2 linked regions of the Xenopus tropicalis genome follow. The protein of the gene in region 1 interacts with the protein of each later gene in a biochemical or structural test. Links are inferred from orthologs where the notes say so. Each region holds a gene or a part of one and is shown on either strand. Other genes may lie near its edges. The genes, in order: fen1 and hus1.

Region 1 (3,825 bases):
ACCTATTATAAGATAAAGGTTATTTTTTTCATATAATGACCACATATTCGCAGAGCTTTAGCGCTTATACATCATTCACATCAGTTCTTGATAGTTTCCCAACTCATTCATTTCCCCCTCTTAAACTTTCCTGCGGGGGTACCTGCAGTTTTGGCTTTCTTTTTGGCAGATCCTTTGGATTCTACCTCTTTCCTTTTAGTTGAGCTAATGGATCCTGTCACTTTGAAAAAGTCATCGAGCCGGCCCTGTGTGCTGCCTTGCCGGTTCTTTGACAACTTTTTGGCCCCGTTGCGTATGCGGTCTTCGCTAAACTGCTTCTCTGCACACATGAAGGCCACCAATCCCTCTTCATCGGGCTCTATCCACTTTAGCTCTGTGCTCTCGGTGTCTACTACTTCTGGTTCCAAGAAAAGCTGCCTGGCCTCCTTGTGCAGCCAGTTCTCCGGAATGGGGTATTTTTTGAGGTCAATGTTATCTACGATCTCTTCAATTGACTTATGCTGACGGATCAGGTCAATGGCCCTTTTGGGTCCAATGCCACGGATGGTTTCACAGTAATCACTTCCAAGCAAGATACAGAGATCCACAAATTGCTCATGTGAGACACCCATGTCCTGCATAACACGGTTTAGGTGGAACTCCTGAATAGGCAGCTTTTTAGCTTCACTTGCGGTTAGGTGCCTAAGCAGCACAGGAGTGCCAAAAGTCAGGGCATCCATGTCTTCAGTGGCTGCAGCATACACCTTCCCTGCTTTCACCAAGGCTGCACATGTGGCTTCAGCCTCACAAGGTGCATCCACATAAGGAACGCCCATCAGGGTAAGCAATTTCTTGCACTCCTCATTGTGCTGTTTAGTGACTTTGACAAGTCTTTTGTTAAACTTCTCAATGTTCTCCACCTCCCCAGCCTCCTCGGCAGCTTCAAGCAACTTCTCTGCCTCTGCCCTACGCTCGCTGCGTTTGGCTAGTTCACCTGACTTCATCTGTGGCGGCTTTCCATCAAACACATAAACGGGTTTAATGCCATGCTCTATCATGCGAATGGTACGGTAGAACATACCCATAAGATGGCTCGTGGTTTCACCGTCCTCGTTTTGCAGCATGTTGCCATCCTGTCGTACGGCAATAAGGAACTGATAAATGCACATGGAAGCGTCAACAGCCACCTTTCGGCCAAAGTAACTTTTGATATCATGCTCCTTGATAGCTGCAGGTGCCACATCTGCAATAAGTTTGGCCAAACCGTGAATTCCCATTGCAAAAGTAGACTTGGTAATAGAGAAGGAAGATGCAGAGTTCAACAACGCAGATTAAACCTTTAAAAAAAAAAAAAAAAAAAAAAAAAGGTAAAGACTTAGTTGCATGGACTTAATGTACAATGAGTGCACAAAATAACAAACCCAATTTCACTTAGGGCTAAGACACATGGAGCTACTTAGTAGCAGCTACCCGTCACGGCTACTAAGTCCCCTGCCATAGACAATACTGAGAATTCCCTACATGTAGGGACAATTATCAGTAAATGATCAGCATTGTCTTTTTTTGTAGCCGTGACAAGTAGCTGCTACTAGTAGCTGTGTGTCTTCACCCTTATGTATAAACAGTAAAACGGAAAGTAAAGAGAAACGTTAGGACTGCTTGCGTGGGTCAAATAGAACTTTTAGTCCCCAGGTTCATATTAAGGAACAATATATATCTACAGTGGTGTGAAAAACTATTTGCCCCCTTCCTGATTTCTTATTCTTTTGCATGTTTGTCGCACTTAAATGTTTCTGCTCATCAAAAACCGTTAACTATTAGTCAAAGATAACATAATTGAACACAAAATGCAGTTTTTAAATGAAGGTTTACGTTATTAAGGGAGAAAAAAAACTCCAAATCTACATGGCCCTGTGTGAAAAAGTGATTGCCCCCCTTGTTAAAAAATAACTTAACTGTGGTTTATCAATTTCAATTTTCAATTTCAATATCAATTTCTGTAGTCACCCCCAGGCCTGATTACTGCCACACCTGTTTCAATCAAGAAATCACTTAAATAGGAGCTACCTGACACAGAGAAGTAGCCCAAAAGCACCTCAAAAGCTACACATCATGCCAAGATCCAAAGAAATTCAGGAACAAATGAGAACAAAAGTAATTGAGATCTATCAGTCTGGTAAAGGTTATAAAGCCATTTCTAAAGCTTTGGGACTCCAGTGAACCACAGTGAGAGCCATTATCCACAAATGGCAAAAACATGGAACAGTGGTGAACCTTCCCAGGATTGGCCGGCCGACCAAAATTACCCCAAGAGCGCAGAGACAACTCATCCGAGAGGCCACAAAAGACCCCAGGACAACATCTAAAGAACTGCAGGCCTCACTTGCCTCAATTAAGGTCAGTGTTCACGACTCCACCATAAGAAAGAGACTGGGCAAAAACGGCCTGCATGGCAGATTTCCAAGGCGCAAACCACTTTTAAGCAAAAAGAACATTATGGCTCGTCTCAATTTTGCTAAAAAACATCTCAATGATTGCCAAGACTTTTGGGAAAATATCTTGTGGACCGACGAGACAAAAGTTGAACTTTTTGGAAGGTGCGTGTCCCGTTACATCTGGCGTAAAAGTAACACAGCATTTCAGAAAAAGAACATCATACCAACAGTAAAATATGGTGGTGGTAGTGTGATGGTCTGGGGTTGTTTTGCTGCTTCAGGACCTGGAAGGCTTGCTGTGATAGATGGAACCATGAATTCTACTGTCTACCAAAAAATCCTGAAGGAGAATGTCCGGCCATCTGTTCGTCAACTCAAGCTGAAGCGATCTTGGGTGCTGCAGCAGGACAATGACCCAAAACACACCAGCAAATCCACCTCTGAATGGCTGAAGAAAAACAAAATGAAGACTTTGGAGTGGCCTAGTCAAAGTCCTGACCTGAATCCTATTGAGATGTTGTGGCATGACCTTAAAAAGGCGGTTCATGCTAGAAAACCCTCAAATAAAGCTGAATTACAACAATTCTGCAAAGATGAGTGGGCCAAAATTCCTCCAGAGCGCTGTAAAAGACTCGTTGCAAGTTATCGCAAACGCTTGATTGCAGTTATTGCTGCTAAGGGTGGCCCAACCAGTTATTAGGTTCAGGGGGCAATTACTTTTTCACACAGGGCCATGTAGGTTTGGATTTTTTTTCTCCCTAAATAATAAAAACCCTCATTTAAAAACTGCATTTTGTGTTTACTTGTGTTATCTTTTTTTGAAAGGTATGTTTTATTGCTTTTTATACAAACAAAAACATAAAATAACACATTTAACATTACAGTAAATAGAATATGCTAGTCTTTCTTTTCAGGTCTGTCTTTAAGGATTGTTACAAACATCGAGGGGGAAAGTGTAACAATACAAAGTTTAAGGGTGGATCTGGCGGCAGTTACATAGTATTGGGTACATCAACCTACTGAGCTAAGTGCTCAGGATATGGTAGAGAGAAGTGGGGAAACGCCGGGGATTTTACCCTGTGAATGGGAGTAGAGTCCTTCAGTTTCCCTCCAGATCACACCAAGGACCCCAAACTTTATCGAATTTATCGGACACGCCCCTGTTCTCATATGTAAGTTTGTAAAGAGGGACAACAGCATTCACTAGATTCTTCCAGGCTGTAACAGTGGGGAGGGTAGTGCCCATCCAGTGCATTGCAACTGTTTTTTTGGCATAGAACAGCAATATTCTGTAGCGTAGCCGGGAGCTATTTTGGGCAATTATAGTGTCTAGGACTCCTAGCAAGCAGGTTTCAGGAGCGGTCACAGTGGGGAAGGCTAAGTTGTTTGATAGATATTTGGTCACTGCTGA
Region 2 (3,825 bases), on another chromosome or scaffold:
GTCCTCTTTAAGGCACGGCTTACATCAGTGTTCCAACCTATTGGGTAATTGTTAGTTCAACATCATTGGTACAGCAGTCTTTTTTTCTGGTTTTGGACTCTCGCCATGCCTTCTTTCCATGACTGCTGTAATAGTCCTGGTGGGGGTGGAGCAATGACAGTAGTATGGCGTTACTGTTTACTAACAATAGTAATAACTAGTGGTTGAGGAGAGGCAAAATCGTAGTTTTATTATGTTACATCAGTGCAAGGAAGATTTTTAAAGTATTACAATAAAACATGAAGAATGCATCAGTATCACTGCATTGTAATTGTGTTTCAGTAACGTGTGTGTTGTATTTTAATTTTCTCTTTCTTTGATTTCTCTTCTGAAGGAGTCATAAATACAATAAGCAAGCTGACAAAGACATGTACCCTCAGGCTCACCGTTAACAATCTGTACTTTATTCTAACTGACAAGGTAGCCAATGGAGGAGTCAGTATGTGGTGTGAGCTTAGCCAGGTAATCCACTTTGGTAATACATGTAATTATCAAACTCCTAGGATGGTTGCTCAATATTCGTTCAAATATGCCTTTATTAAAAAGAAAAAAAGTTTTTAAAGAGTTTGGTAACTACTATTCTTATTGGACTAATCACAGTCCTGTATTTCAGCTTTTTGAGCTTCTTACATCTGTCTTAATCCAACCAGGGCTCTATGTAAGAACGCTATTACGACCAATGCTAAAGTTTGCTGCCAAGCATATATGACCCTCTGTTTCTGTTTTCTAAAGCACTGTACTTGCACCAGATATGAATTTCCTTTACCTGGTGTAAGTACCATGTTTTTTTCTCTTTTGGTGAAGGCTCTTTCCTGTTTCAGCATGCTAATAACAAATGCATCAAGCAACATTTGTTAACCAGTTAACGCCTGTGATTGAAATACTGTCTGCAAGCCAGGCCTGATCAAGCTTTGTCACTGGTCAGCCTCACACATGCTTCTGTGGGTGGCTGGAAGCAAATCTTAAAAATATTCTCACATTTAGAGAAAAGCCTTTCCAGAAAACTAAAGGCTATTGTAACAGGAAACGAAGGCTTGACTACTTTCAATACATTGATTGAAATGATCCAAAACCTAAACAAGGTCAATGGGTTTAGGATATTTTTTTTTGAGAATTTTGTTTATATTTCAGGGCAATTTCTTTGATGAATATCAAATGGAAGGTGTTTGCATGGAGCAGAATGAAATCTTCTTGGAGCTGATACCTGAAAATCTTTCCCGAGCATTAAAAACTGCTCAGAATGCTAAATCTGTGAAAGTAAAACTGACAAACAAGCATTGCCCATGTCTGACAGTGGCTCTAGAGTTGGTAAGGAAATTTGAATTTTATATCGGCATAATTGTATTTTGTCTACGAAGGCATGTTTGTATGTAAAATCTTCTTACAAATGTTGTTTGTAAGTATTATTATACATTTTTTTTATAGCGCCAGCAAATTATACAGCTCTTACAATGATTTAACCATCAAGGGTTTTGAGTAACAATAGAATCATAGGGCCCTACTTGCAAATGCTTACAATCTAAAGGGGTTAAGGGTACAAAAGGAATATGGAAACAGATTGATGATATATGATACATAAATAAATGTTGGATCAGTCGGGATATATTGAATATGCTTTCCTAAATTGATGGGTTTTTAGGGAGTGTTTGGAAGGAAGGGGAGAGACTGATGGCTCGAGGCAGAGAGTTTCAGAGACAGGCAGAAGCCCAGAAGAGAGTCAAAGGTTATAAGCAAAGCATAAATTGCATAATCTGTGTGCACCTTTTCCTGCTGTTAGGAAAAGATCTCTCTAGATTAATGTCAAAGTTCAAAAAACACGTGGAAAAGCCACCTAGTTTTTTACACTACCCCACTGTCAACTCTTCTAGACACAGTGATTTTTTACACCCCTTTGTGTTCTAGCACTTGTTCTGGATAATTGTAAATAACTTCTTAGGACCTTGACACTCAAAACTGTCTCACACCGATCCAATCGGGCAAGTATAAATGAGGATACGATAAGACCCCGATACTGTAGGCATGGTAAGAACAAAATTACTTCCCCACCCCTTTCTATCACATAATATGATAATAAATAGGGTTGTGGGAGAGCTGATTCAGGAACATACATGAGGAGAGTGGTTATGAAAATGTGAAAAAGATAAAGGGTGAAATAGTAAGAGGCAGGAAGCAATTCATAAAAGTTTTATATATATATATATATATATATATATATATATATATATAAAGTCATGCAAAGCAGGCACTCGCGTGAAAATGGAGCCAAAAATGCCTGGGTGCAGTATATACAAGTGTAGTACAAAAATAGCAAGGATGCCGCACTCACAGGTCTTAGTGCAATAAACAGAAAATTTATTAATACAGACTAACGTTTCGGCTGTCACTGCAGCCTTTTTCAGCCTTTGAAAAAGGCTGCAGTGACAGCCTATCGTCTTGATTTAGGCTGATGCCACACTTTGCATATGGCGTATATTTTCGGCAACCTGAATATCGTTTGCCGAAAATAATGCCATACGCTCCTACCTGTGAAATGGAATATGCTCGGGTTCAGGCACATGTAGGTCATATCCTCAGAAGATATGAAGTCTTGCGTTTTTTGGTGGATATCAGCTACATATGCCTGCATCCGAGCGTATTCCATTCGTTCAGGTCCAGGCACAAGGTAGGACACTTTTACAGTAGCGGGCGTATTATCGGCAAGGGTTTTTTGGCTTGCCGAGAATACACCCTTGCGGCATCAGCCTTAAATCCAACAAGTAGCTAGGTCAGGAGGCAGGGTTGGCCTTCTCCAATTCGCTATAGGTGAAGCTAGTTCAGCCATTATTTCATCCCTCCCATATAATTAGCTCCTTGTTAATATTATTTTTTTCCCTAACATTGCTTTCATCCTGACATGATTGCTCTCATAGTGATATGAGCCAAAGTAGAGGGTAGATTGCCACTGAGATTATTTGAAGGAGTTAAACTTAGAAGGGGAGGAATTGTAGTAGAATAGATAATAAAAGTGATGTAATGGTATAAAAACAAGCCACCCTTGTTATGCATTCATTGTCTCAAGTGATTTATTTCTGGGTAACTATATAGTTCAGAATCTTGCTCCCACTCAGCCAGCTAAAAATAACACAAGTGTTTCAAGAAGCTCATTTCAAGTAGTTCATTAAGGCAGAGAAACTTTTATAATTATAAGTTACATAAAAAAATGCTGTCATATAAAGGAATATTGTACTTTAACTATAGTTATTTTGTTAAGCAGCAAGATCTGGTGTAGGCCATTATATGTAATCTTCTTTAGGAGTACTCTGCAGTAAGCCTTGACTTGGTTTCTTATGAATGTGGAGGTCAGTTGGCCTAAAACTGGGTATACACAAACTTTTGTTTAGTTGAATGCCTGTGTGTCGCTTCATTCCAAAGTAAAATGAATCCTGTGAAGGAAGTTACATTTTGCAAGTTGTACATTTTTAGGAAATTACGATATCACTTATCATTATTATTAATATTATTATTTATTTATAAAGCGCCAACATATTCCGCAGCGCTGTACAATAAGTGGGTTTCATAAATTGGACATACAGAGTAACATATAAAGCAATCAATAACCGATACAGGAGGTGAAGAGAGCCCTGCCCAAAAGAGCTTACAATCTACAAGGAGAAAGGGTTGAGGCACAAGGTGTGGGAATGGGCATGACCAGAGTTGTGAGAGGTGTGGCTCAGGGTATTGCTTTTAGCAGCACACTGAGGTTATGTTAAACTAGATTAGGGTAAGCTTCTCTAAATAAATGCGTTT

What was found.
Region 2: the proteins of fen1 (region 1) and hus1 form a complex in vitro, tested with the Homo sapiens proteins (2 studies listed by BioGRID). The link is inferred for Xenopus tropicalis from reciprocal best matches to the Homo sapiens genes FEN1 and HUS1.

Annotation. Positions count from the first base shown.
Region 1 is NC_030680.2:23,225,513-23,229,337, forward strand, and holds part of fen1 (flap endonuclease 1), read right to left. Parts: intron 1,317-3,825; 5' UTR 1,257-1,316; coding exon 108-1,256; 3' UTR 1-107. UniProt on the Homo sapiens protein: Structure-specific nuclease with 5'-flap endonuclease and 5'-3' exonuclease activities involved in DNA replication and repair.
Region 2 is NC_030682.2:59,402,607-59,406,431, reverse strand, and holds part of hus1 (checkpoint protein HUS1), read left to right. Parts: intron 1-373; coding exon 374-501; intron 502-1,170; coding exon 1,171-1,347; intron 1,348-3,825. UniProt on the Homo sapiens protein: Component of the 9-1-1 cell-cycle checkpoint response complex that plays a major role in DNA repair. The 9-1-1 complex is recruited to DNA lesion upon damage by the RAD17-replication factor C (RFC) clamp loader complex.